Alligator mississippiensis: one gene and its partners. Each later gene encodes a partner of the first gene's protein in a complex. Links are inferred from orthologs where the notes say so. Each region holds a gene or a part of one and is shown in the gene's direction. Other genes may lie near its edges. The genes, in order: RAD9A, RAD1 and checkpoint protein HUS1.

Region 1 (9,907 bases):
ACGGGGGCACAGAAGGGAATTGGTGAGTATTTATTCACCAAGGCGCCCCTGGGGGTTACAAGAAACAATGGCCACAAGCTAGTAGAAAGCAGATTTAGACTGGACATAAGGAAGAACTTCTTCACAGTTCGAGTGGCCAAGGTCTGGAACGGGCTCCCAAGGGAGGTGGTGCTCTCCCCTACCCTGGGGGTCTTCAAGAGGAGGTTAGACGAGTATCTAGCTGGGGTCATCTAGACCCAGCACTCTTTCCTGCTTATGCAGGGGGTCGGACTCGATGATCTATTGAGGTCCCTTCCGACCCTAACATCTATGAATCTATGAATCTATGAAACGGGAGCAAACTTAGTGCCCTATCTCAACTCCTGTGCGTGGCAATAGAACAAGAGCTAATACAGTTAGGGCTCTGACTTCTTCAATACAGTGTCCTGGAAACCCTATGCCAAACAGGGTACTGACACATGTGTACACACACACAAACATGGTGTCACAAGCAAGCCTTGGTGACATGATGTTAAAGTTCCAGGACTCATTTGATGCTGGCACTTGTACCACTGCTGAATAGCTCTCCAGATGCAGCCTGGCTGTATGTACTGTTTGTGTTGGTGCAGGTCCCTCCTTGCATGTGGATTGGAATTAGTGTATTTCCATCTGGTTGTCTGGGTGTTTATGTTGGCATACATGGATACGGAAAGGAGAGGGAGTTTGCCTATGCGTGCGAGTTTGTGTGCAACTCCGTCTATCAGTCTGCCTCTATGTGGGTATATAAGGGTGTGTATGTAAGAGTGTCTGACTGTGTATCTGGCGAAGAATCTGCCTCTTTATGTGTTTGCATTTCTGTGTGTGTCTGCTAGAATCTGCTGGATGTACAATGACCAACAGTCTGCTGCAGTGTGTGCGTGTGACAGAGAGAGAGTGCCTGCACATATATGTAGGGAGCTTGCCAGTGTGGGTAGGTGCAGGTACCATTGGGAAAGGGTTTTAATTTATGAAAAAATGTGCCACTTAGCAGGGAATAAATCCTCCCCAAGCCCAGCCCCGTAAGGACAGCCCTCTGCATTTCCCTTTGGAGGCTTTTTTTTTTTTTGGTTTGGGGCTAATGCAGCCCAGATGTGCGCAGGGACCGTGCCCTCACAGAGCCTGCTAAATAGGAGCTGGGTACATCAGTTCCTGTCAGGATCCAAGTGTTTCTGATGAGTGACAAAGCCTAGGGGCTTTGAAGAGCCGAGCGCCACAGCTTGTTTTGGGGCTCCTTCCCTTCCCCCAAACACAGAGAAGCACCAGGTTCCCCAGCCCCATCCACCTGGAGGAGGAAGTGGATGGGGATGAGGTGGGAGTCTGCTGAACACTTGCCCTTCTCCATCTCTCCTTCTTTGAGATATTGCTCTCTTTCCACTTCTTATCTCCTCTTTCCCTCCTCAGTCTGTCCAGAGATTTTCATAGTTCTCCAGTCTTGGCCAAAAAACAGCTCTTGCCAGTTACAAAGCAGACAGACAGGATGTTTCTCAAGGTACTGTACACAGAGTATTTGAGTTCTATCTCTTGGAGATCTGAAGAACCAAATCTTGCCTTGTCTTGCACCCCATATCTCTGTGTGCCTGTCTGTCACTAGATAGATAGATGGAGAGATAAACACAAAGATAGCTGGATAAATCCAGTAAGTCTTTCTATCCTCACTCTTTCCGGTCCTTCTCTACCACTATGCCCTTCCTGACTCACTCCAGCACCTCCGGAGTCTGGAACAAAAAATGAATACAAACTTTTTGTTTTTCAAATAACCGACTCCATCCAAGAAGAGAATCTTGTCTCATCCTGTGCACCAAACCAAACAGCGGTGTTGTCAAAAGAGTCTGTCCAGAAAGACAAAATTTTGACCTTTTAAGGGTTGTTTTTAAAATTAATTTTATTTTATATGTAACCTCTTTTCCAGAAAGGCTGGAGTGTTGTCTGCAAAATCCCCATTGCTTATAAAAATTACACCCTTACTCCAGGGCTGGTCCTTTTGCTGCAAGCATTTTTTTCTCCCTTCCATAAGTAACAAAATACAAGAGGCAGTTTTCTAACTAAATTGCAAATTTTAAAACTCCAAGGATTACCAAAAAAAAAAAAAATAAAAAAAATCCCTACATCACCAAGAATAGTTCTGGAGAATTTCTAAGGGTGACCACCTCCCCTCCAAAAGGAAGCATATGGTTGGGTTCCCAAAACCTAACTTCAAGCTGTTTGGTTTTTTTATGTTTGAATGTTTTTAAACCTTGCTATTAACAATTAAATACTTCGCTTTTTTTTTTTTTAAATGGTGCAAGTGCTTAAATCAAGCCATGGGAAAAAAATATTTCTGCCCTGTCTAGGTCCCGGTGACTTTCATTTTCCTCTTCTCTCTGTCAGTTCTGGATTTTAATTCTCCGTGCTAAGCGGCATTTTCCTCCCCAGTAATCACAAACATGCATGGAAAAGAGGGAATGAGAGAAAGGAAAAAAGGGGGAAAGTCTTAAATCAATCACAAAGCCAGACAGACATTTTAATCAAATCAAATTAAAATCAGCAGCGGTTCGGAAAAGAAAAACACGACACGCACAGCAAGACCCCCGCCCCTACACCCCCCCCATCCTCTGCCAAAATAGTAGAGACACACTTTGGTCTTACCTGAAATCTCCCCAGCAACATATAGCATAGTAGACTCAGAGTGTGGGGTTGGGGTGGGGGAAGGAAGGCTGCAGAATTTGATCAATAGAAGACAAACTTTTTGGTTAGTTTTTTTACTCTAAACCCAAAGCCCAAGCGAATGGTGAAATCTCCCTTTCTCCCTGATCTGTTCTGCCCTGTCTCTTTCTCACTCTCTCTTTTTTTTCCTCTTTCCCTATTTGTTTTGGTTTGTGTTTGCTTGGGTGTTAGGTGGAAAAAGCTGTCTCGGATATTTTTTTTTGGTGCGTGTGTGCAAAGTTTTAAACATGCTCTCTCTCTCTCTCTCTCCCTCTTGCTCTCTCCCCCTTTCCACCTCCCTTGATTTGCTCTTTTGATTGGTGTCCAGGAATGCAAGAATAAAAAAAAAAAAGATTGCATACACCCTCTCTCCAAGCTGCTTGCTTTTTTTTTTTTAAATTCAAGTGTTAAGCAGAACCAGGTTGCTTTCAAGAATGTATTTGATGCAATTGTACACAAGGGCAGGCTCCATTCATTTTTCTTCCCCCCCCAATGGCTCTTCAGCTTTGGGCAAAGGTAGGGAGCAGCTGAGCTAAAGGGCAATTTGCTATTCTAAAAGTAAAAGGAGGAAAAAGAAAGAGAGAAGTTTTTAAAATGTGGATTAAAGGGGAGGAGAGAATACCACCCCTTTCACATACACCCCAGAACTCTGGCTATTGCAAAGCTTTTGTTAGTGGCATTTGGAGAAGGCTTGCAGAAAATTAAAGTGTTTCCCGAAGAGTTATGAGTGAAGGGGGTGCTGGGAGGGGAGATGGGACGCAGCAGGCAAAGACGAGGGGGAGGGCTGGTTTGCCTTTAGAGAAGGGAGGTTGGGAAAGGTGCAGAGGTCTCCTACCTGCTCTGAAATCCATTTGGTAAAGCCAAAGCTACACTCAGGACTTGCAGCCCTTGAAGGTAGGTTTGTGATTTAGTGCTTCCTTTCTCCGAGGGGGCTGCACAGAGTCTGCGGTCCTTTATTTTTGGCCAGGATTAATAATCCCATTTGCCAATCCCACTCATTTAGGGTTTGGTTTGGGTTTGGCTTTTTTTTTTTTTTTTTTTTTTTTTTTTTTTTTTTTTTTGGTGAGGATATTCTTTAACCCTCTTTTTTTTTTCCTGACGTGTAAAGCTTTAACCACAAACTGAAACACCAGTCCCTGAGGGGGGTACGGAGGGGGGAGAGGAGGAGAGGTAGAGGCAGATTGGTTATTCTCTTTTCACAAAAGAAAGTTTTAGTAAGAGGGGGTGAGGTAAGCAAGCGGTGCCACCCTGTGTTAGAAACACTGGTGTGTCATGGGGGGAGCAAGGGGGGTGAGGAGGAAGGAAGAAGGATACAGACAGAGATGGAAAGAAAGAAAGGAGAGATTGACAGATGGGAAGATGGAAATGTACAGACGGGTGAAAAGAAAGATAGGAAAAACAAAACAGAAGAATATGTAGATAGAGTAGAAAAGAAAGGAAGAAAGATATACTGATGGTTACAAAAAGGATAGATAGATATAGAAAGAAAGAACAGAAGCTGGATCGGTCTCTCCCCTTCTTGCTGTCATGTACAGCCCTCCCCATTCCAGATTTTTAAAAAGTTTTTCCCTAAGGGGGAAAAAACATCCAAGCCCAAAGCCAGCCCCCTGCCCTTGCCCCAGCCCAAATGCCAGACGCGGGACTTGGAAAAGCAGTGCTAGTTTATTTTTTATTCCCTCTGCTGCTGCCCTTTCATGGGAAACAAAACACAATCAATTGTTGAGCTTTTGTTTTTTATTTTTGTGTTGTTGTTGCCTCTAAACAAGGGAGAAAGGAAGCAGCATGCAGACGTTTAGTCATCGGCAGGTGACTAACCCTGCTAAGCATTTCGCCAGGCGACAGACACCAGAATGGGATGGAGGGGGTGAGTGCAAACATTTTGGTGAAAAGAAAGTTGAGCCCTTTCTCGGGGATTGGTTTGTTATTTCCCATTCTTCCTTCTTTACTAAAGTTCACAAGTTTTCTTCTTTCATTCATTCTTTCTTACTTTTGCCTTGTTCCTGCTGTGGGGGTTAGATTTGTGATTCATTAATCAGCAAAAGGCATCACAGCCCCATTTCAACACAAGATCTTTCAATTGCATATTGTGACTCAGCATTAGGCTCCAACTTCTTTAAAAGTTGAACAAGGAGGCAGAGATTTCCCATCTGCTTGACCCTTTTTTTTTTAAACTCACTCCTCATTGCCAATTTAAAATATTTAGTAGTAAAAATGTTGTTAGTTCTTAATGCAAAAATTTTAAAAAATCTTCCCTAAAACAGGTGAATAACTTCTAAAAAAGACATAGCACCCCTCTCTCCAGGAAATTATTACATGTAATACATAAAAATTTATAGGTAATATGTATATACATACATATTATGTATGTATGTATGTATATATCATACATAGGCACAATGTAGATTTAAGTGCTTTTGAAAAAGTCCAAAGGGTTCAGAAGACACGTACATAGGCATCATTCTATTTTTGCATTGTTTTTCATCTATACTTCTATTAACTGTGTGCACAAGAGCTGTATAGAGCTATGGGCCCAATCCTGCAGTTCTTACTCCAGCAAAAATCCCACTCCACAGCTTGCAAAATACATACGAAACTCACTTCACTACTGAGTAGTTCTGATGTCCAAATTCTGGGACGGTTCCCCTCTCTGTTCAGCTGCTCTAGTAAGGGGCTTTTAAGAATTTTCAAGATCTGTGTAAAAACTCACTTGTGTTGGGACTTAGCATTCTGACTTACTAGAGATGCATGAGGCTTTTTGCTTCAAGGATCTACAAACATGAATATTTATTTTTGTATATTACAACAGCTAAAAAATGAGTTTGTTTCCAATTAACCTCATCTGATTAGGACAAACTTTGCTCTGGGTGTCCCTCTAGTTAGATGAGAGCTTTGGAAATAAACTTCAGATTTAAAATAAACTATCAAGGGTTATTAAACCTGGTATGTTGGGGATATGGCAAAAAGCAAAAAATAAAACAAAACCCAAAATGCTGTTTACTCACATTACTAAATATTTAAATTTTTTTCAAACAAGAAAAGCAGGAAGGGTTTTTTGTTCTGTAGAAGGAAATACAATAAGTGAACCTAAAATTATTTTCATTTGTGAACCATGTTTTTTATCTTCTGTTGTTAAAACGTGTCTAGTATTTACACTTTATAGAAAATGGAAAACTATTACAGTCCTTTGAACTTTGGGAAGGGAAATGTATTAATTTTTGCAAGCATTCTCTTGATGCTTTGTTTAAAACAAAGGCACTTACAAACCAACTTGTCTTAGGTTAACAGTTCTTGGTACTTCCAAAAGGTAAAACTCATAATTTTTCAATAATAGTTTCAATAAACTCCAGCCTCCCCATATTTTTGTTTGAAATGTCTAAAACTATTTTTTCTTTGGTAGAATTCACCCTAAGAGGTTGAATAGTTCAACCTTTCCACTATTTCTTGAGCAGCAACTCTGCTGTAATGTGCAACTTATTTAAATATCATTCATCTATATATATGTACAGACACACATACATTAGATTTAAAGGAGTCTACATTGCACCATGTACAAAGACTGTAATATGTTTAAGTTTCTTTAGGATTGGCGCAAATACTGATATCTTTACAGTACGCTATATAATGTCTTTGTACGCAATTATGTGTTTCTTCTTAGATAAACACAAGTTTAAGCATGTAATACATTCACATTTATACACATATTTCTCCGTCCTGTATTTTTTGTAGATGCTTTTTATCTGACTGTAGGGAAATGTGGGTTGCAGACTGATTAAAATTGGGATTTTTTTTCCCCTTTGCAACACTAACAGGCAAAACGTGAGCCCAGAATGCTTGCCTCAAACTGTGTGTGTTTCATACCCAATCCAAGAAGATGCCTTTTTTTAAACTGGTTGGAGTTGGTGGGTAAGAATGGTGCAATGCAACATGCCACCAGGAAAGTTTTACAGACCCAATGCCACACTGAGCCCAGACAAGGAAAATTTTCCTGATTTGGAAGCCTGGGGACTTACCCTACTACAGACACTACGACACCAGCTTTCAGCATAGATGCGTGCCAGACACAGGTACCGGGGAGGTGGGGAAGAAAGAGAGAAAGAGGAACACATGAATGAAAAAGAAAAAAGCTTAGGTGCCTCTTTGTAACATTTCCCTAAAGTTGTCCTTTTCTGCAAGAACTGAGTTGCATGCCTACATGCCTAGTAATATCTGACTATCTGTGAGGGAAGTAATCCCCACTGCCCTAGAATAAACTCTTTGGATGAGGGAGGGAGAGGTAGGATTCAAAATCCATGTTTCTGATTTCTCTACTTAAAGCTTGTGGGCTTTTCATCACTTTTTTGGTTCAGATGAAGTGGGGAAAGGGGCAGACAGAGAGAGGGCTACAGAGCAAATCCTCAAAGTCAGGGGCAGCTTTTATGCAAAGCACAAAGTGATTAAAAAGGTGCTCCCCACTGCCAGGCCCCAGGACACAGAATGAAGGGCTCATTGGCTTGACTTCATAATAGACCATGTCATGCCAATGTGGTTAGTGGAACAGAGTCTGTCTCCACCAAGACAGCCCTATCCTAACCCCATCAGCACAGTCCCCTCCCATGAGATACGGGATCAGACAACAGCAGGGCTTGGGATGTAATGACATTGTTCAGCATCTCACTTTGCTCTCACTGGTACAAGATGCTACCACTCCTCGGGGGGAAAAGAGGCTTAGTCTGAAGACTGCATGAGCAGTAGCTGGGATGCCCCGTAGAGGTAGCTTTCCCAACACTCTCCCCCCAGCCAGAGACCACTGTTTTATACTCTTACCTTCACTGCACCAGAGACCCTGTCTCCCCACACACTCCCCAGCCAATAGAATAAGTATGGTGGATGCTTCACCTGCCCTTCACAGGCCCTTCTGCATTTCAGTGTGGGACCAGTCTTCCTTGTTGGTACATTTCCACCTAGTCTGCTTGGAATTCCTGTCGCCTTCTTAGTTGTGCTGTAGAATACGTGGCTTCCCCTTTCAGTGGGCTGGCAAAACAGCCTCCAAACAGCTAAGAGCTGTTGAAAAAGGTGCTCAAGTATCCTGAAGATTCCCTGTGTCCAAAGGTCACCATTAATCTTTCTGAGCTGAAGCAGCTGGGCCAAAGGTCAAGGGGCTGCCTGCAGTCTGGCTGCCTCGTGGCTATGAAGTGCCAGCCCAAGCCTTTCTCACCAGCCCTCCCAGGGTCAGTGGGGCTGACTGCTGTGTTTTGGGCTGGGGAAGCTGGGACCTTTGGTTCAGGAGGATGTGGTGTGTGATGGAGCAGCACCTGAGCAATCTACAGGGTTGCTAGGAGCCTCTGGTATGGCTGTTTCACAGAGATATAAGTAGAGAAGACAGTCTGTCCTCACTCAGGCAGAAGACTTTTCACTTCTTCCCAAACAGCTGGGGGTGCTGTCTGGATCCTCTCCTTTCAGGGCTGGTAACAAAAAAGCTGAGCCTGGACACATTCCAGCTTGGATGCCGACATGGCTGTTGGCAGTGGTGCTCTACTTGGCAGGCTCTGGGATGAGTGACAGAATTTAGATGGGGGCCAGCTGGTCTGATTGGTCATGGTAGGTCTCTCAGCAGCCTTGGAGCTGGAGGCTAGTGGGCAGGAACTGCCCTATAGTCAGAAACTGATCAGCACTGATGCATGGGTCACTTCTCCAAGACTTTAGCTATATCCTGAGCTTTTGGGTGCATCCCAGAGCCTCTTGTGTAAATTATATCAAAATGTAGGACACAGCCTCCCTGGTGTATGGGTGATACATGACTGCTCCATGAACTTGGTCTGCTCAGGATCTGTTTGAGAGGGGCAGCTGCCAGGCACTGCTGATGGCAGGGGTTCCAGTTTAGGAAGCTGTTCCCCCCTCTGTGAGCCTGCGTGAAGAAAGCCAGGCTTAGACCCCTGGCATCACTGCTCACTGGATGTTCTTTACTGAGACCTTTGGAGACTATAAAGTTCAGGCCTGGGCATTCCCTCGCAGATGGCAGATGGGGCTCCTCTCTTACCCATGAAGCAGTTGGTTTGCCCTGGCTGCCCTGGGCTCCTTACAATTCCACCTCTGAAGAGAGTACAAAGGAAGTTTCTGCTTTAGCATAAACCATTTCAATCCCTCTGCAATGGTGCTATTACAACGCACATGGAGTGAAACCTATGACTGCAGCTGCTGCTTCAATCCTATCTGTTGGAGTATCAGGTTAGGGCTGAGGCCAGTCCCCTGGTCCCACCCATCAGGGTGCCAGTGGAAGAGGACATTACTTACACAAGGCATTCACATTCTGCCTGTTCAGCAACAGGTTCATTTCTTGGGGACTACTCTCTTACATGGGATCCAGCACTCAGCCTGCAAAAGGATTCACTTAGCATGTGGTGAAGAACAATAGTAGCAAAGGAATAAAGATACCATCCTGCGCTGACAAATGCCTCCTGTTGACATGGACAGCTGAACCTGCAAGACAGGTACTGTTCCTGGGAGCTTCCTGAACCAACCAATGTCCTCATGCCTGCAACAGTCTGAGGCTCCAGATCAGCACCATGAAGTGCACTTCATGTGACTGTATGCTCTTCTAGCACCAACTTCCTCTTATGCCTTTTTGTAGTACTCAGGCAAGACTCCTCCTGTGCATGATTCCTTATTCTCTGCTTTGCAGGCTGCCTTGATTTTTATTCACTCAGGATCCCAGACCTAGATTATTTCACAGTGAAGCATTTGTACCAGAGTTGTTCTGTATATCACAAAGGGCTTGGTCTGAATGACAGCTCACGAGTTGCAGGCTAGCAATGGAGACAGGTCACTCACAGCCTACATGCCATGCAAATGAGAGAGAGAAAGGGAAACCAGGCATGCCATGGCCTTCTTGGGCCCTGTCTGTGGTTTCCAGGCCAGTAACGGATAAAATGCAGACAGAATGTCCAGGGGCCTTTGCTAAGCGTCTCTGCTCAGCCACGGAGATGAGTCTTTCAGAATGAGGGAAGAGACAGCCCCGTGACAGCGGGCAGTCCTCAAGGGAAGTATGTCTGAGAAGCCTGCCCTGTAGTCTAGCCTGCCTCCTCTGCCTGGCGGCTGCATTGTTTAGGACACTGGTTGTCTCCATGGCACCATCCTGGGACATCCTCTGCGTGGGAGCAGATACTCACAAAGCAAAGGGCTCCACCTGGCCAGCTTGGCTCTGTGGGTAACACACGCCCTGGCAGCCTGC
Region 2 (9,291 bases), on another chromosome or scaffold:
AATGTGAATACATGATCTATAAAAGGTTGGCTTTTGGGATGATACTGTGGTGTACTAAAGATCTGTAAAAAAAAAAGACAAAAAAACAGCTAAAAAGTTATCAAGATGCCAAATTATTAAATTTATCTTTGCGTTCATCTTAAATCTAACGTTGCATGTTCTCAACCGTATAGGCTTAAATATATGGTAGTTAAACCACAAAAAGCCCCAGTGACATCATGAAAATAAGTCTTTGTGGCATTGTGGCCTACGCAAAAATATATTAGTGTAATCTTCAGTATTTAAAAAAACTGAAATGTTAATAGAAAGATGGTTTGTAAGAAGCAAGAAATACCTAATACCAACCTGAATAAACAACTCTTTTAACAAAGCATAGTGTGGTTCCTGATCAAATGCCTGTAAGAGGAAAATACAGTTTTACACACACACACAAACAAACAAAAAAAGCAGCAGTGGTATAGAGAACAAGAAAACAAACAAAAAAAAGAGTCAAGCAAATCTGAAACATTATACTTGCCTGATCAAAAGACAAAAGAGGCCGCGACCCCCTCAAGCAGTTTCCAGTCATCTTCAGCTCTGCAAGTGTGTGAACTACAATGATTTGGAACAGGTTAAGTGTTCAGTAAAAAAAAGATTGGGGGGGGGGGGGGGAAGAAGGAAGGAACCTATATAAAAGCAATAGCCTGAAACCTTGACTTACTATTCTGCACCAAGAATTTGGCTGATGGTCCTTGGGGTGTATTTGAAAGCCTGCAGAAAGAAAAGTCAGCTAATAGCACTGTAGCAAGAAACACACTTCATAATTCCATAATACTTCTCATCCAACAATTTATCTAAATGGTTTTAAGTGGTTTGAAACTGCCAGTCAGCTCATTTTAGATATTTTTCTTCAAATTGCGAGCACTGTGGTCAGTAGACCTTAAAACAATGAGACTTAACAGAAAGCATTTGAAGTACATTTGCTTTTTAAAATGATAAATAAACCTAAAACTATAGGCTCTCTTCCCATATAATATTAAAGGTCCTGACAGCTATGGGAAGCGGAGCTTAAAATTCTACGGACATCCAGTAAGGTAAACTGGAAATTCTTTGGCAGCTTCAAATAAATTAAAAATTATATCTACTTTTGAAACCAGTATGTAGGGGAATGTAATTGTGAAATTTATTTTCATTTTAAAAAGTACCAAACAAAGGTTAAAGAAGTCATTTTGCTACTGTGTACTTCCGCACTTACAGCAAGTTCAACTAATTTTGACTGCAGATACCCTTAAAATGGGTCATTTGTGGAGAGTCAGTTTCTTCTACATCTTTGAATTTAACTATTACTTTAATCAGGACTCTAGTTAAAATGTGAGCTATGGAAACGATACCAAGATATTTAATAAAGTATAATGTATTCTCTTACCACATATAAAGATCCTGTTTCTTTTTGGCTTCAAAAAAGATACACTTGTTGCAGTTTTTTATTTCACAAACCTGTATGAATACATGTGACAAATCAACCATGAGTAACGCTCTGAAGACCTTTTCACAAACCTTCCAAATTAGTCCCTAAAATAATTTTCCGGAATAAATAGGTACAAATCTGAAGATCCTACAGTACTTATTAATACCTAGAGCTGCAGAACAGTTCATTTAAATTAGCAGCCTCTTCAAAAGGCTTTTGGAGTTTGCCTTGCCAGAAAAGCATTAAATACAATGTATTTCCAAGCAGTCTCATGGATTGTGTATGCATGGGGCATTGCATCAGGGGCCATGACATATGGGTTCTAGTCTTGGCTTTGCCAGTGGCCCGTTGTCATGGATTTAAGTCAGTTAGTCAACCTATTTGTTACTTACTTTTCCCAACTTTAAACTGCAGGAAAACCTTTTGTAAGGCATTTTTCATGGTTGGGTCATGGAGTGACAGAACAAAATGCTTCTAGCCTATACAGGTTCCTGTTTTTAAAATGAAGTCTTTTTTTTTTTAAATCAATAATCAGCTCACAATTTCAAAATAACCTCATTTTAAAGATCATGAATGGCAATTTTCACCCAGGAAGGTACTTAACATAATTAAGCAACAAAATCAGCAGAGGCAGCCACATAAAGCAACTACAGGATTACTAGCCTACTCTTCCTAACCAAGAGCTATTCCAGCACCCTGAAACAGAAGAGTTCAGTGTATGACCACCTTACATGCATCAGGATCAGTGTGGAGCAGTGGTTCACGGGCTCCTGCTCCCAGAAGTCTCTTTACCAAGAGCAAAGCCACAGACATGTTTTTGCAGTCTCTTGTCACTTTACCCTCTGATGCCACCAGTTTATCTTATCTGTAAAGAGACCCCAGACTGCTCCGATTACTCTGCAGTATTTCTGTTAGCGCATCCATTTGTACTACAGGGTTAACCCAACTCCTTAACTATGTTCTATGCACTTTTCTTCACCACCTGCTTCAGCCTTGTACAGACAATGCCATCTGTAAACAAACTTAAGTATTTTAGAAAATTACTTACATGACTATGTCTATCTTATTTTTTGGCAACAGCAGCTGTGACAGCCACCTTTTTCACCCCTGTCCTCCCTTCAACCCTTTTGTTACACTTGTTATTCAAAGTATTTGTTGTCATGGCATACTTGGAATTCATAACACAGAGCTCCATCTTATAAGCCTTCTTGGATAGCACTTCTGTTGGTTTCAATGAGAGCTCTAAACATGAAGGACAATCAGAATTATTTGACTTACTAGTCTTGCTTTTCAGAGTCAGAATTAAACAAGAATACCTCTATACAGGAGAATAACTTTTTTCCCTAAATAGTTATACTGCCTCTGAAGAAACCCAAACTAAACCAAATAGGGTGATCTGTATCTTCATGCAGTATAATACAGTTCTCTTTGAGTTCACCTATCTTCCCACTTGGTGCATGTACCGTATCTTGGTTTCATCAGAAATTCAAGCTTTAGATGAATTACAAGATTACCTCATTAATTACGAACAGCTTGTCTTTACGGTCCATCTTAGTGTCTGGAAAACAACAACAAAAGTGTTGTTGAGTAGGCTTATATGCTTTTTCATATTGCCAAGAGGCACACACACTTCAAAGAAGCTGAAGTCATATTTCACCCAATATAATTACAAGTTCATGTACTATCTATCTTCAGCAATTATGTATTTATCAGTACTGGTTTTCACTGTTACTTCACACCTATGCTTGACTTTCATTCTGAAACCCTCTGTTCTGCCAGTGATTGGGACCCAGCCCTGTGTTGGAGCACATCAGGAAGGGCTCTACGGACTCTGCTGCAAGACTGCAGTGAGACAAGAAGGCAGCAGCAGCCTGCGGTGCTAGAAGTGGATCACAATTTGCAGCAGTTCTTTCACATATACCAGTGAAAAATCCCAATTGTGCAAAATACTCTGAACGTTTGTAACTGCATGCAAGCAAGTAGCTTGACTAAAGCCAAGGAGATAACCAGAGACAAAGCAAATAGGTGTGACTGCTTACCAAATGGAGGTGTACGTGACTTTCCCAAAGACCATACTGTTTGTATGGTCAAGCTTTTGCTTTTTGGGGGTTTTTTTAAGAGTAAATAAGGACACCACCATGCAGCCAGCTGTGAGAACTATGTGGTCAAAAGGCAGGCAGTTGGAGCTAAAAGGTATAAAACTAATCTAGATAATATAAGTAGAGTCAGACATGGATAACATCAACACTACCTGCTTTCGAGTGGGGCATCAATGTTCGCAGGTCTTGCATCAGATGTCTCGTCCTGAAGTTAATTCCTCGGGAAGAAAAAATTAGTACGCGCTCTTTGTTTTTCCATTTTCCCTAGAAGAAATATAAAGCTCAGGTGAAAATATGATGTTTCCAACATTAAATAAAAATTGTACTAAATCAGTCATTTTCAACCTATTAAAAGAGTAATGCACTTCTATAAAAGCTTCCACTTAAAAATCTATTTTTTTGTGACAGGCTGCAGATTTATTATAAGCTTCTGCATACATTTCCTGACCCATCCTACTGGACTATCTACAGCCATCTGCCATGCTACACCTAGATACTGATGTTTTAAGAGGTTCACAAAAGATTTCCCGGATGAGCGTCCCTTTGGATACGCCAATAAGAAATCACAAAAACAAAGGCCCTGAGCACTACACACAACACGCACACGTTTTGGAGCCAAAATCAACACTGTTGATCCAGAAGCAAGATGAGCTTTCAACAGCTGCCCAGAAGAGACCTTACGGTCAAGTCACAAGCTCTCTTACGCAGTGCTGGGTTTACAAGAAAAACGGGGTTTTTTTGGATTCTTTTTATACACTGGTCCAAGAGTAGCTGCGCTCCTGACACCGTACCCAGGCTGCCGTCCGGCCGCACACTTGGGCACCTGGCAATCAGAAATGGACCGATGCCCACGGACACCAGGGGGGCTCAACTCCCAGGCCACGGGCCACATGCGGCCCGCAGGACTCCCCAAGGGACGCGACCCTGCGTGCCGTGCCAGGCCAGGCCAGGCGAGGCGAGGCGGAGGTGGCCCGGTTTCGGCAGGGGGGCCGGGAGCCCCAGCAAGGCCGGGCACAGCGCACAGGAGGCGGCGCGGGCCGGGCAGGGGCAGCGGGGCCGCATCCTGCTTCACTCCGCGCGGCACCACCGCCCCCGGGGACAGGGAGAAGAGACCCTCACCTGGGAGACCGGGGCCGGGACGCGGTGCTCCTCCCTGGCCGGGCCCGGCCGCGCCCCCTCGGCCGTGCCCCGCGCTCTCTTCCTCGCGCCGGCCCGGCCCGCGCCCGCCCCACGCTTCCTCTTGGCCGCCGCCATCGTGCCTGCACCCCGCTTCCTCTCCACGCCGGAAGTCGGCGCTCTGCGCTGAACCACTTCCCTCTCTATGGCTTGCCTCCCGTGTGGTGGGCGCTTTGTGACGTTCGTATCCACACTGGACACGTCGTATTACGATGGCCATAAAGCACCCCTACTCCAGCCGGCGGCCTTCTTTTACGACGACCGTAAAACAGCAGGGGATAGGCCAAAAAGCACCATCCCCACGTTCACCGGGCGTCGTTTTATAGCAGCCGTAAAGCACAACCCCGTCTGGCGGCCGGCTTTTACAACGGCCGTAAATCGCCGTGCCTTTTACGGCGGTCGTTAAGTATAGCCCCTACGTCTTGCCGCCCCTTTTTTCTTTTTTACGACGGCCGTAAAGTGCTCTCTCCAGCCCGCGGTTGTGATGCCGCTGTTGCTGCCGGCCGGGGCCGGGGCCGGGGCCGGGGCCGGAGCCGGGGCGGATGGGAGCGGGGCGCGCTACGTGCTGGTTGCCAGCCTGGACAAGGCGCGGCACCTGTCCACCATGCTGCGGGCCGTGCACTTCCGGGATGTCGCCACGTGCGTGGCCACCGCCAACGGCCTCAAGGTGACGGTGGAGAGCGCCAAGTGCCTGCAGGCCTCTGCCTTCATCCAGGTCACTGCCCGGCCCCGTTCCGCGCGGTCGCGTCTTTGAGGAGATGAGCCCCTGGGAAGCTCAGCATGAGCGTATTTGCTGAAAAACGACCGTACCCCCAAAATAGGCAAATAAGTGTTCGCGTTTACTGTAAACGGGTCGCTAAGTCACCCACTCGCCAGCGAGAGCTGGGTCATCAAGTTGGAGGCAGGCCATCCTAAGAGTCTCAGCCTTGTTTCCTTCCTTTTCCCTAATGCCATTGCAGTAAATACCTCTTCTTTGTCTTTACTGAAGTAACTCATGCTCATCTTCCCCTCCCCCCCTCCCTTAAAATATATTTTATGATAGTTTCTTACAAGTGTAATTAATAGCTGGCATTTAATTTATTTCAGGAGTTCAACGTACTCCGCATTCAGGCATCATTCCTTTTAGGGAATCGTACTTCAGGTCATGGATCAATAGATGATTCCTGTGGTTAACTTGAGAGCGCTCAGTTCAGTCCTCTTGACATGGAATCATAGACAGTTAGGCTGGGAAGGGAAGGGAAGGGAAGGGAAGGGAAGGGACCCACAGGAGGTCATCTAGTCCAGCCCCCTGCTCAAAGCAGGACCAGCCCAGCCAGGACTTTGTCAAGCTGGGCCTTAAAAACCTTCCATCACCTGTCTAGGTAACCTGTTCCAGTGCTTCACCACCTTCCTAATGAGAGTTTTTCCTAATATCCAACCTAAACTTCCCTTGCTGCAATTTGAGACCACTGCTCCTTGTTCTGTCATCTATCACCACTGAGAACAGTCCAGCTCCATCTTCTTTGTAACCACCCTTCAGGTAGTTAAAGGATACTATCAAATCCCCTCTCAGTCTCCTCTTCTCCAGACTAAATGAGACCAATTCCCTCAGCCTCTCTTCATAAGTCATGTCCCTCAACCCCCTCACCATTTATGTAGCCCTCCACTGGACTCACTCTAATTTGTCCATGTCCTTTCTATGGGGGGGGGGCCCAAAACTGGATACAGTACTCCAGATGTGGCCACACCGCTGCTGAACAAAGGGGAACAAACACTTCCCTTGATCTGCTGGCAATGCTTCTACTAATGCAGCCCAGTATGCTGTTAGCCTTTTCAGCAACAAAGGCACACTGCTGGCTCATATCCATCTTATTGTCCGCTGTAACCCCCAGATCCTTTTCAGCAGAGCTGCTGCCAGCCAGCTCAGCCCCAGCCTGTACTGGTACATGGGATTGTTCCGTCCTAACTGCAGGACTTTGCACTTATCCTTGTTGAACCTCATGAGATTTCTTTTGGCCCAATCCTCCAATTTGTCCAATTGGTCCAAGGTCACTCTGAATCCTAGCCCTACCGTCCAGCATATCTGCTGCTCCCCCCAGCTTGGTGTGATCCATGAACTTGCTGCACTCCATCCCATCTTCCAGATCGTTAATGCGGATTTTGAACAAAACTGGACCCAGGACTGACCCCTGGGGCACTCCCATTTGATACTGGCTGCCAACTAGACATTGAGCCATTGATTACTACTCACTGAGCCCAGCAATCTAGCCAGCTTTCTGTCCATCTTACAGTCCATTTATCCAACCCATACTTCCTCATCTTGCTTGCAAGACTGCTGTGGGAGATGGTATCAAAAACCTTACTAAAGTCAAGGTATATCATGTCAACTGCACTCCCCACATCCACAGAGCCAGTTATCTCATCACAGAAGGTAATCATGTTGGTCAGACGTGACTTGCTCTTGGTGAATCCATGCTGACTGTTCCTGATCACTTTCTTCTCCTCCAAGTCCTTAGAAATCGATTGAGGACCTGCGCCATAACTTTTCTGGAGACTGAGGTGAGGCTGAATGGTCTGTAGTTCAGACCATTCAGGGGCGGGGGTGTAGCTCTCTATGTTAAGGAAAGCTACACGTCCCTGCAAGCCGATATTGGCGACCAGGGTGGACGGCTGGAGACCCTCTGGGTTAAAATCCGTGGGGAACACGGCACAGGGGACACAAAGGTGGGAGTCTACTACAGACCTCCCACCCAAAGTCCTGAGCTTGACCAGGAGTTTGCCCGGGAACTGGCTGAGGCCGTATGCTCCAGGACCATGGTTATCATGGGTGACTTCAGTTACCCAGACATCTCGTGGGAGGATCGCTCAGCAAAATCTGAGCGGTCGCAAAGCTTCCTCTCGTGCATGGATGACCTCTGCCTGACTCAAGAAGTCTATGGGCCAACGAGAGGCAAAGCGCTGCTCGACCTGGTACTGGCTACTGGGGATGACCTAGTTGGCGACCTAGTGATCGATGGGAAGCTGGGTGACAGCGACCACGAGCTGATCACCTTCACCATCAGCCGAAAAGCTGGCAAATCAGTCAGCAACACGCAAGTCCTTGACTTCAGGAAAGCCGACTTTGACAAGCTCAGGAGGCTCGTCAGTGAGGCCCTAAGGGACCATGACCACGGAGAGAGGGGAGTTCAAGAAGAGTGTGGTTGCTCCTCAAGGGAGCGATCCTCAATGCACAAACTAAGTCTATTCCATCTCGGAGGAAAGGCAGCAAGAGGGCACAGCAGTCCCCCTGGCTCTCCAGGGACCTAGCAGACCTCTTGAGGCTAAAAAGAAAGGCCTACAAAGGATGGAGGATGGGAGTCACCTCCAAGGAGGATTATTCTGCACTGGTCCGGTCCTGTAGGGATCAGACCAGGAAAGCCAAGGCTGCAACTGAACTCCAACTAGCTTTGAGCATCAAGGACAATAAAAAGTCCTTTTTCAGATATGTGGGGAGCCAGAGGAAAAGCAGGGGCAACGTTGGACCCCTGCTGAACCAGATGGGGCAACTGACAACTGACGCCCAGGAAAAAGCCAACCTATTAAATAGGTACTTTGCGTCGGTCTTTCATCAGCCCCATGGGACGCCCATGCCCGCTACAGGGCCAGGAAGTCCGGGTGAGGGTGATCCCCTGCCCTCCATTGATGCTGACTTTGTGAAGGAACATCTTGAGAAGCTGGATACCTTCAAGTCAGCCGGCCCTGACAATCTTCACCCCAGGGTACTCAAGGAGCTGGCGAGCATCATAGCCCAGCCTCTAGCGCGGATCTTTGAAAACTCCTGGCGCTCTGGTGTAGTGCCTGAAGACTGGAAGAAGGCCAACGTGGTGCCTATCTTCAAGAAAGGGAGGAAAGTGGATCCGGCTAACTATAGGCCCATCAGCCTGACTTCTATCCCGGGGAAGATCTTAGAAAAGTTTATTAAAGAGGCCATCCTTAATGGACTGGCCGACGCCAACATCTTAAGGGATAGCCAGCACGGGTTTGTTGCGGGTAGGTCTTGCTTGACCAATCTCATTTCCTTCTACGACCAGGTGACCTATCACCTGGACAAGGGAGATGAGATTGATGTCATATATCTTGACTTCAAAAAAGCCTTTGATCTGGTTTCCCATGATCGCCTCTTAGAGAAACTGGCCAATTGTCGCCTTGGGTCCTCCACGATCAACTGGCTGCAAAATTGGCTCCGGGGTCGGACCCAGAGGGTAGTAATTGATGGAAGTCACTCATCATGGTGTCCTGTGACCAGTGGGGTCCCCCAAGGCTCTGTCCTTGGACCCATACTGTCCAACATCTTCATTAATGATGTGGACACTGGAGTCAGAAGCGGACTGGCCAAGTTCGCCGATGACACCAAACTTTGGGGCAAAGCATCCACACCAGAAGACAGGCGGGTGATCCAGGCTGACCTGGACAGGCTCAGCAAGTGGGCGGACGAGAATCTGATGGTGTTCAACGCCGATAAATGCAAGGTTCTCCACCTTGGGAAGAAAAACCCGCAGCATCCTTATAGGCTTGGCACTGCTATGTTGGCTAGCACTGTGGAAGAAAGAG
Region 3 (10,381 bases), on another chromosome or scaffold:
TGGAGCCTAGCAAACTCCGCGTGTGTTCGTGTTTTCTGTTGTAACCGCAACTCAAGCAAGTTCTCAGCCTGCACCGCGACCATCTCGGTGTAAGTAAACAATCTTAAAATCAACCGTTACGTGTCTGTGCCTAATTCTAGCTCGGCGCCCGCCCTCTCCGACCCGGCCTGCCCGGGCTGCTGGCCACAGCCCGCGTGCAGAGCGACGAAAAGGGCCCGGGGCCTGACCCGGCCCGCACATGGCGACGAGGATGGGATCAGGAGAGGGCTCGCTAGAGTTAGAATTAGTTGAGAACTGCCCTTGGAGAAGTGGGAGACGCAGCGTAGCAAGCGTCGCAGAACTGGAGGCGCACATCATGTACCACCAGGCGGGCGGAACGGGCAGGAAATGTGTCCGTGGACACCTTTCGCTAAGGGGAGAAGAAAGAGCTTCCGAAGTCGGAGCCCTAGAAGGGAAAGAAGTGTATCTTCACCCCACGGCGTTCGGGTGTATCATGAGTGATGAGCGGGTCCTGTGTAGGCCCCTCGATAGTGTAACCCTTGCCGAAGTCGACCCGGTGACTGCAGTAAGCCCGACCCCCACCCGGGAGTGTGTCCGTTGCTCGCGGTGTGCCCTGGAGATGGGAGAGCCGATGCCGATCAGATGGCTTTCCCCTTGCATGGTAATACCAGGACTAAGGGGTCGCAATCGTCCGTCCGAGCTCCACGAAGACCCGGAGACGGAGGACCGCACCGTAAATGAGAGAGTGGTCCTACGGTGAGACAAGGGGGGAGAATTAAATGCAACTTTTCAGACTATGACTGATCTGATGAGTGAAACTTTAAGCTTAAAGACCCAGCTGCGTATGGCCGTTCGAGCGGTCGGAGAAGCAGCTGAGAGAGGGGATTTTAAGAAGCCCCACAAGATGGCACGGAGCAGAGGGAAGACCGCGTGGAGAAACCGGAAGAGAGGGATGGAGCTTCGGGAGAGCCCGCGAGGGTTCGGCCGGTGACTCTGCCCAGCGACGCAGCGTGGATTCTGCCGACCACGCCCCTCTGCCGAAGGGAGGGGGAGTCAAGCGGAGGAGTGCATCCTCCCCTCCTGCCTGAAACAACAACAACCCCCACTGTAACAATGACTACAGCTCCGACAGAAACAGCAACAGCGACAACTCGCGAAGAAATTGATCAGCCTGCAGCATCAAGCAGCCCAGTCATCGGTCCGCAGAGTGCAGTTCATGCTACCACCTATTACGCTCGTTCCAGAGCCGAACTGCAGAATTTGTGTAGAGAATCCAGGATCCGATCCGAAGAAACTCTGGCTGTGTGGTTAGGACGTCTAGTCGTGGAACTTGGGTCCGACCTCCTGGACCAGGAAGAAGCAAGCTTCTTGGTGAGACAAGCTTCATGGAGAAGGGGACATGTCACCGACATCGACATGGTGGCGTTTAGCGTCCACTGGCCTATTCCAATTCCAGCGCTTGTGGCAGGAGTGATCGAACAAAAGGCCCACGTATGGCACGATGGACGACCAGAGCACACCGGTGCAGAACAGCTTGTACTGGCTATTATCGGAGTTTCATATTGCGCCTGGAACCCAAGAGAATGCACGTTGGGACTAACACCGCTCCAACAAATGCGACCATGGCCTCACCGTCACCTGCGAGACCCTGGAACCGTTCCAGTGACTCTCGACAGCATAGATAGTTGTCTTAAGGTTTACGGGCAAAGAAACATCGTGGTTTTGCGGATTGTGCTGAACCCACTGGTCGATCATCCTGTGAGTAGTCTCCTTCATCAGTTGTCAAGACTGCGCGTCCTAATGGAGCCAAGACTATCCAGTGATCGGGAGTGTCAACGCCCGACTGAGGCTCAGAACACGAAACACCGCGAATCCGAGCGTCCAGTATTACGCCAGAGAACGCAAGAGGAGAGATACGTGTTTGGATTCCTCCTGCAGCGTTCTGGACTTAATAAGAGACAGCTTCGGATCTTGGGAGACGTGGGACAATGGCAGCTAGCCTACGAGTTAGGTTTTCACTATCTAGAAGAAAGCGATGAGGACTCCTCGACGATTTCGTCGAGTTGCTGAGTCGGAAAAGAGAGAGAGCTGTCCAGTATAGAATCGTGTTTACATATCTGTATTTAATAGTGATGATAAGTTTAATCGACTGCATTATCGTGCGGTCCTGTGTGATTTTATAAATAGTAGTGGAATAACCATTTTAAGAGAGTTCTTTTACAGATCAGGGATTCGGAGTGCGTGGTGGAGAGAGGCCCCGAGAGGGACAACAACACCGAAAGGAACGAAGGCCTGACGCGCGATTCCACCATGACGCCCACTGAAGTCATGATCGTCCAGTTTTTTGTTATGAATATGATTTTATGTATATGTGTGTGTGCCGGCTATTATTTAATTCGATCCCTTGAGGACGAACTTTTATTGTTGACTGATTTTGTTTTTGCTCGTTTAGTTTCGCGAACCATTGACAGAGCTGTTAATAACCCGGATGATAGGTTTGAAGTATAATTCTATTGTGCCTTCAGCAAGGGGGGATGTCATGACCCAAAGGTCTGATTTTTTGTGTGTGCTTCGGCACTAAGAATTATCCTCGTGGGTTTACAGCTTCATGGCACGGAGAAGTTCTGCTGCACAGAGAACCCGCGTGCAAAGGAATGTTCCCGCCACTTTGCAGCGGTCTTTGCAGGGTGCATTTTCTTTGCAACACAGAAACGCACGGTGCAAAGGAGTTCCCGCTCTTTGCATGCAAATTCGTGCCCCACAATTGGCTAGTGCTAAATTATTCCCATGTGGCGGCTAGCGATTGGCCTGCTAACCGTATAAGAGGCTTGAGCAGTTTCTGCCCAAGCCAAAGAGGACTCCACATCCATCTCGTGGGGACTCTGGGTGTGCGCGGCAGGGTAATAGAAACCCTGTGTGTTGCTCAGAGGAGTTTGACAGCCTGATCCACCGCCCACCTCTTCCCGTCTTCGAACGGAACCTTCTATAAGACGTATCAACGAGTTTTATGCGCGCTTGTCCTGGACATCCGGAGTTCTGTCTGCGTGGAGCCTAGCAAACTCCGCGTGTGTTCGTGTTTTCTGTTGTAACCGCAACTCAAGCAAGTTCTCAGCCTGCACCGCGACCATCTCGGTGTAAGTAAACAATCTTAAAATCAACCGTTACGTGTCTGTGCCTAATTCTAGCTCGGCGCCCGCCCTCTCCGACCCGGCCTGCCTGGGTTGCCAGCCACAGCCTGCGTGCAGAGCAACGAAAAGGGCCCGGGGCTTGACCTGGCCCGCTCAGAGTACACATGGCAGCCTGTGCCAGGGTCCCTCATGGCCAGGATGTGATCCAGCTACCGCGTGAAGGGCAAAGTCCTGTGGCAGTGGTCTGTGATGCAGACCCACTGGGCCTGCAGGGTTTTGATCTTGATGCGGCAGTGCTCCCACATGCAGGCTACCATAGCTTTACAGATGTGGGCATTTGCCTGGGTGTCCTCGCCAAACTGCTGCTGCACATCTGCTTTGCCCCAGACTGCTATGAGTTTGCTGTTCCCTTGCTCTGCCCAACTGGGACCCTGAGCTGATGTCTCCAGTGTAAGGGATGCTGCCATCCCAGGTGTTGCCAGGGATCTTGGGGGCTCAGGTACAGATTCCAGGTGCTTTTGGGGTTTGCCACGTGCCTGCAGCAGAGGGGCATGGTGCCCAGGAGGCAGGCAGCTGGAGGCATGGGCCCTGGGGGGCAGAGCTGGTGTCTGTTGTGCTGTTGTGGCTGGTCCATGCTTGTGGCAGAGAGGCACAGTGCCCGGGGCAGAGAGGCACAGTGCCAGGCAGCAGAAGGCATGGGGCCTGGAGGCCAGCCATGGAGGCATCCCTGCCACGTGGCTGGAGGAACTCCCAGCCACATGGCTCTGCTCCAGGCAGGAGGCTGGCCCCTTGCTGGTGTGGCTGACCAGGAGCAAATTTGCACCCATTCAGCATCTACACATGTACTACTGCATAGTAGCTACTGCACAGTTAATCTAGTACAGTACTTGTATCTACAGGTACTAGCTAACCACACAGTAGATTAATTTACTGCACAGTAAATGCCATGCACATGTTGATGGTGATGCTTAACTGTGCAGTAGATTAGTCTACTGCACAGTAAAGCATCTCATGTAGATGAGATGCTGCACTTTAGGTCTATAAGGTGCATCTCTACCCTGCCTTCTATTAATTGGTTATGTATGTAGAGCCCAGGTAGCTGGCATTCACTGATCAGACTCAGGGCACTGTCACCCCTGAGATGCACCACTGCCTGTTCCCTTAGGAAGATTTTTGAACAACCTTAATTACCAGCAGCAGGGCTGCAGTTTAGCTGTGACACCAGAGAATAAGTGTCACGATCAGATTCAGTAGGTACCTGCACAAATCTAGTTTGCTGATATCTGTAGTATACTTTTCTCTTGTAAAAGGTCACTGATACCTTCCAGGAGGCTTGCATAAGGATCACTAGTCCTCCCCAGTTGTGCTGCATTGGTTAGAAAGGCCTTGCTAATGTGAATGTGTTGCCTTTGTGCACCTGTGCCTTCGAAAGAGTAATTTAATGGCTAAGAACCTGACCCTGTTAGTAAACAGCATCTGAAATGCCCCCCAGAGTACAGCCTACATGATGCCTTACACCTTCTGCTCATATTGACTTCAACAGAAGTTTAGGAAACTGACCCTACCACCGAACTGAACCTGTTGTGATTCACTGACTTGCCCCTACAGCTTCACAGTACTCAGAAGTGAGTATTTTTTCAAGTAGCTGGTTTCACTAGTAATAGCTATGGGATTATGAACAGTACAGGGGGCACAAGAGCAAAATGAAATACATGCTGATTCCACTAGCACTTTGCTTCAATGTGCTTCCTGTTTAATTGCTTGAATTTTTTTTTTTTTTTTTTTACAGTTAACATCTGGAAATCAATAGAAAACCAACATATGTGATGGTAAACCAAGGACAGTCCCAATGAAAAAAGAATGTTAACGAATACAGATAAACACCAAAGTTTATTAAGGGTTAGAATTAACCTGGGAGAAGGACACTTGATTCCTTGCTTGTCCAACAGCTCTCTAACTGGCCAGCTGGTCCAATAAAAGATACTGCAAAAAGTCCTTGTCGGTCACGATAGTAAGAAAAGAAACAGTGACACTGGACTGTACATAGTAGAGCTGCAAACAATTCAACAGAACATGCACTGCAGGAACCAAAAGGGCAGAGCAACTTATAGGCAGAGTCTGGATCCTCTGTGATGACGAATGGGCATTTACCACCTGTGTGCTGCAAGGAGCTTCCCATTTACCCTGAGTGACAGGTGGGTCTTGGATAACATCTAGGGCTGGCCAACATGTGGTACAAGTGGCACAAGCTGCCTCTATGAGGCATGCAGCAGACTGGGGTGAGGGGTGGCAGCACAGCACAGAAGGGGTAGGAAGCAGAAGCCTCCCTTCCCCCATACATTCCCTGGCTACTGTATTGTGTTGCTCTATATGGAGTTCGCTTTTCTATTTGAAGCCATCCATAATCCTCTTCTCTTGGTCTTCTGATTTTTCCCCAGGCCCTATTTGCCACCACCTCTCTTTCGGGTTGCATTTCCAGCCCTGTAGTGTCCATTCTTTTCTTTTCTTAAAGGCATTTTTTGTGTCCCAAGCCAAATCAGCCAAATCAAGTCCAAATCCGTGAGTCAGTCCAGAACCATAAGTGGCCCTACAACCCGCAAACATCCTCCACCCCCACCAGGGGCTTCAGATATTTCCAACGTCTTTTGGCAAGCATCCTATGTGCAGGCTTGGGGTTCAGATGCCCCCAAGTGTCACCTGCCCTCAGCCATATGGTTGCAGGAGCAAGCTAGGGAGGAGCCTCTCATTTCCATAAAATGGGCATTAAGCCCTAACATTGGTGATGTGTAGGGGGTGCATGCACACCCTGAGATCGGCGGTGCACCCCAACAGAAGCGCCATTGACGCTGTTGGCAGTGCCTGCGGGTGGTTACTACTTGCCACCACTGGCAGGGTCTGTGGGTGGTTTCCGATTGCTGCTGGCTGCCGTCGCCACTGCTAGTGGCATCTGTGGGTGGTCGCCAACCACTGGTCAGCGCTCGCCAACCCCTCGGCATGTGCTCAACCACGCCAGAAGAACAGTTATCCCGGAGAGCGCCTAAGGAAAGCTGCCTTCATGGACCCACATACCTGGCGTCTCCCCTTCGATTATGAATACAGTGCCAGAGCTATGCTGCAGCAGCGCGGTGCCACACAGGGGGCGAGAGGCGAGGCTTTCTGAGGGCCGTTTTTTGGGGGGTTGGGCCAAGGGTAGAACAGCTCCCGAAACGCAGGGCGGCACCAGAGGAGGAACAAGGCCCGGCAGGCGAAAGCGGGTCCAACTCGACCTCCGCCCCAGAGCTGGGCCGAATGAAACGGAACAGCCCGTCCTCTCGCTTTCATTTCGACACCAGCACCCGCGCCGCCGCCATAGCCGGCGAGGAGCCCGGCTGCGGGGCGGAAGCAGGGCCCGACGCCCTGCAATGAGCGCGGCTCGGGCGGGGCGTGGCGTGTGGGAGCGCCGCCCCCTGCCCCGCGCGGGACTGCGGGTCGCCCGCGGCGTGCCGCCACCATGCGGTTCCGCGCCAAGATCCTGGACGTCGCCTGCCTCAACCACTTCACCCGTGAGTGCCCCGGGGTCAGGCTTGCTGGGGGCGCCCCTCCCGGGCCGGCCCCTGCTCCAGGGCGCCGTGGCCCCCCCGGACTGCCTTGAGCGTCCGTGCCCGCCCCTGCTCGCGCAGGCCGGGACTGACGGCCGCAACACCCCGGGGTGTCGCGAGAGCCTTTGCGGGTAGTCGGCGCGCAGGCACGGTTCCCAAGCAGGGTGTCCGTCACAGAGGCCAGTCCGGTTGTCCTCTGTGGATACGAAACCCCACGCCTTTACGCCCCCTATCTTTCTCTTGAAGAGAAAAATAAGAGGACGGAAAGGCGTGGGGTTTCGTATCCACAGAGGACAACCGGACTGGCCTCTATGCCCTGCTCACGAGGCAAGCCCCAGCGGTTTCCAAGTGGAGTCGATAGCGGCACCACCGCCCTGCCCCGCTGTGGCCTTCCTGAGCTCGGGAGTTGCTCTGCTGTCCAAAAGGTGAAAATCAGCCTTGTTGGGCTAAGGTCGAGCGCAGTCACTGCGCTGGTCTGATACCGGAGCTAAAATGCATCGCAAATGGCCGTTTGTCGCGGGCGGGACTCCCTACCAGAGCCTCGTAGTTGGCGAGGATATCGGCTACATCCTGACTTTATGGAAACTCCTATGGTTAAGGGCCTGCTGGTGAGGTCCTACGAGGAGAGATTGAGGGACCTGGATCTCTTCAGCCTCCGCAAGAGAAAGCTGAGAGGGGATCTAATGGCTGTCTACAAATTCGTTCGGGGGACACAGCAAGGAATAGGAGATGCTCTGTTTACCAGGGCACCCCTTGGAGTAACTAGGAGCAATGGCCAGAAACTGAGAGAGCAGGTTTATATTAGACATCAGGAGAGCTTCTTCACCGTTAGGGTGACCAGAATCTGGAAGGGGCGCCCGAGGGAGGTGATACTCTCCCCCACCTTGGAGGTCTTTAAGAGGAGACTGGACAAGCACCTGGCTGGGGTCACCTGACTCCAGGGCAGGGGGGTCAGGCTCGGTGATCTACTAAGGTTCCTTCAAACCCTAAATATCTATGAAATCCATGAAACGGGAGACTCCTCCCTAGCTTGCTCCTGCAGCGGTATGGCTGAGGGCAAGTAAAATTCAGGGGCATCCAAACCCCAAGCCTCCGGGCTTGGGCCTGCATGTAGGATGCCCGTCAAAGGATTTGGAAGCATCTGAAGCCCTGGGCTGAAAAGTCTGGGGTGGAGGATACTTGCCGGTAGTATGGCCACGTATGGTTTTGGAACAATTCAAAGGATTTGGAACTGATCTGGCCAATTTGACCAGGAACACGTAAAATTATCCAAAATATATATTTAAAAAAAAAATTCCCAAGGGCACCCTGAAATCTAACGAACAACCCTCGCATCTATAATAGCTGAGAAGTGCTGTCCTGACCCTGAACTCCCTTCCCAATGCCAGTGTTTTTCTTGCAAATTAAAAAATGCCTCCCAGCAAAGGCCTTTTTTTTTTTTTTGTTCTGCTCTCTAACCATACATGTCACTGGCTGGGGATGAGGTAGTTAGGCTATTAGGGGAGCCTGTTTGGTTTATTTTTCCTCTCCTTTAGGAAATGTAAAATAAATAAATAAAAATTCCAAAACCCTTCCTTTCACATGACTTGCTCTTTTTCACTCGAGGGTTTGAAATCCTGAGGGCAGAGATAATTTTCCAATCTCCTCCACTCTTTCCTTTCCCCCCAGCCCCAGGTGGCATTTGGATATTCACCTTTCCCTCAGGTGGGGTGGAAGAGGGGCAGTAAGTACAGCTCCACATTGGGTGGGGGCATGGGGTTGGATTGAGTGGAATGACTTCCAGATGAACTAGACTAGGGCATCCCTGTGCAGTGAACATTTGTATCATGAGCTAGGGGTGTGTCAGAGTCTGAAGACCTACATTTTCACTCTCAAAATGTCCTTTAATGGGCACAGTGGGCCTTTGTACACGCCACAAAATTGACATTTAAAGTGGCTTAAATACTCTTTTGCACCACTTTAATGGTGTTACTGTTTGCATGTTCGGCAGCGTATTCCGCTTTAAATGACTTTGGTACATAACAAGATAAAACACCTCCGAGGTGTTTTAGTTTGCTACCTAACAGTGCAACAGTGCATGGGGTGCTGGAAGCTGACGTACTCAGGGCTTGGTGGGCCCCGCGCAGCTCAGGGGTTGTGGGACCTGGTGGCAGCCTGTGCAGGCAGGCTTCACTAAAGGAAAAAAGCAGCAAGCCTGATCTTCCCCCTCCCCGGAGCCTGTCTGCCTGAGCTGTGCAGGGGCCCGGTGCTTCCCTCATGGCTGTGGTGCCCCCCGGGACTTCCCAGGTTGGGTGCCAGTGGGCAGGTGCTGCCTGGGGGCCCCCTGAACAGCTCAGGGACCACTTAGCCCACTGGCAGCTGGCCCCCATGCCTGCTGCCAAAAAGGCAGGTAAGGAGATGGCTCCCACCCTTGTGTACATAGCATAGGGGTTTAGTTCGGTTTAATTCTGCCTAAATTGAAGCAGTGTTTTTAAAAACCTACTGTTTCAATTTAGGGAGAGCTAAACTGAATTAAATCCCTGTGTCTTGTACAAGCAGCCAGTTAGTTCTTTAAACCAGTAACAAAAGAAAATATAGATATTAATGATTAACAAGGTGTTTGTGTTCAAATCTGCAGGTTAAAATAGAAAGGTCAAATTTAACAAAAGGCAATCTTAATACAGACAGGTGTCTTGGCATTTCTGTAACTGAAAGGACAGCCCAAGGCTGGACATCTTTTGGAAGCAGTGTAAGACCTTTCTATACTGGACAGACACGTAGCAAACAAACCTAGATTGGGGTCTTGTTTGGGGCACTTCTAGTTTATGTTGGTGCTTGTCTTGTTCTTTTGTTCCTTCTCCTGTTACATAAGCTATTCTGTTCTCTTTTTGTAAGCTGCCCTGAGCCTTTGCTGGGAAGGTTGTCACATCAGTTGAATAAATAAGTAAACAGATAGTACAAAGCAGAAGTTTCAGCTTGTCATTGGTTTATTTCTGTCATGCTCTTTCCTATGGAACTGCAAGCCACAACTTTATGAACGTATTTTTTTCTCCTATGCTAGAAGTTCCTTAATGAACCTTTATCCATAGGTGTAATCAACACAATTGCCAAACTAGCCAAGACCTGCACTCTGCGCCTTACACCAGGCAAACTTTATTTCATCCTCACTGACAAAGTAGCAAATGGAGGGGTCAGCATGTGGTGTGAGTTAAGTCAGGTAAGTGCCAGAAAACGAGGGTGACATCCCATCATATATAAACACTTAATATATTTCAATCTTTGATGAAGCTGTGCATTCAACATTATAGGTAGTGTTTCTTGCTATCTGTAGAAGTAGGAACCTGACCTATAAACACTTCAGTAGCATGCAGGTCATTGTGGGATTGATTTTTTTATTCATAGATGACATTTTTTAATATGTCTGAATTCTTTTTCTAGTGTGATCTTAACATCTATTTTGTCTCAGGTTTTTGAGTGCTGGTGAATGGATAAGAGTGACTTTCTGTCTACGAATGGCAAAAGCAGGGCAAGCCCTAATTTTGCAAATGGGTCCATGCTTGGGGATCCTATGTGTGCACAAAGTCTATTTCTTATAGAACATGCATATGGAGCAGAGGGGAACTTTGGCCTTTCCACATTTGTTTCAGAATTTAAAGATCAGTACTGTAATTCTGCAAACTGTAACTTGCTCTGTTT

Evidence for each region.
Region 2: the proteins of RAD9A (region 1) and RAD1 are in contact, whole or in part, in a crystal structure (PDB 3GGR), measured with the Homo sapiens proteins. The link is inferred for Alligator mississippiensis from reciprocal best matches to the Homo sapiens genes RAD9A and RAD1. Residues at the interface, in NP_004575.1 of Homo sapiens: Leu76, Ser82, Val83, Ser86, Leu90, Lys92, Leu112, Phe116, Gly117, Val118, Arg119, Lys120, Thr121, His122, Asn123, Leu124; in NP_002844.1 of Homo sapiens: Glu165, Ala166, Ser168, Glu169, Asn195, Ala196, Gly197, Ser198, Ser199, His200, Leu201, Asp202, Tyr203, Pro204, Asp206, Ser207, Glu211.
Region 3: the proteins of RAD9A (region 1) and checkpoint protein HUS1 are in contact, whole or in part, in a crystal structure (PDB 3GGR), measured with the Homo sapiens proteins. The link is inferred for Alligator mississippiensis from reciprocal best matches to the Homo sapiens genes RAD9A and HUS1. Residues at the interface, in NP_004575.1 of Homo sapiens: Leu157, Pro158, Pro161, Val176, Ala186, Lys191, Ala192, Met193, Val194, Thr195, Glu196, Met197, Cys198, Leu199, Gly200, Asp203; in NP_004498.1 of Homo sapiens: Thr84, Asn87, Arg90, Ala91, Lys93, Thr94, Phe110, Ser121, Ser123, Ser126, Arg127, Ile128, Val129, Thr130, His131, Asp132, Ile133, Pro134, Ile135.

The regions. Positions count from the first base shown.
Region 1 is NC_081825.1:176,210,805-176,220,711, forward strand, and holds the start of RAD9A (cell cycle checkpoint control protein RAD9A), read left to right. Parts: upstream 1-4,431; 5' UTR 4,432-4,482; coding exon 4,483-4,564; intron 4,565-9,907. UniProt on the Homo sapiens protein: Component of the 9-1-1 cell-cycle checkpoint response complex that plays a major role in DNA repair. The 9-1-1 complex is recruited to DNA lesion upon damage by the RAD17-replication factor C (RFC) clamp loader complex.
Region 2 is NC_081826.1:279,960,235-279,969,525, forward strand, and holds the start of RAD1 (cell cycle checkpoint protein RAD1), read left to right. Parts: upstream 1-5,167; 5' UTR 5,168-5,206; coding exon 5,207-5,437; intron 5,438-9,291. Other genes in the region: BRIX1 (ribosome biogenesis protein BRX1 homolog), read right to left, coding at 1-62, 346-396, 518-591, 701-750, 1,406-1,476, 2,962-3,005, 3,699-3,810, 4,666-4,800. UniProt on the Homo sapiens protein: Component of the 9-1-1 cell-cycle checkpoint response complex that plays a major role in DNA repair. The 9-1-1 complex is recruited to DNA lesion upon damage by the RAD17-replication factor C (RFC) clamp loader complex.
Region 3 is NC_081827.1:159,818,788-159,829,168, forward strand, and holds the start of checkpoint protein HUS1, read left to right. Parts: upstream 1-6,618; coding exon 6,619-6,670; intron 6,671-9,774; coding exon 9,775-9,902; intron 9,903-10,381. Other genes in the region: uncharacterized protein LOC132250309, read left to right, coding at 1,114-2,070. UniProt on the Homo sapiens protein: Component of the 9-1-1 cell-cycle checkpoint response complex that plays a major role in DNA repair. The 9-1-1 complex is recruited to DNA lesion upon damage by the RAD17-replication factor C (RFC) clamp loader complex.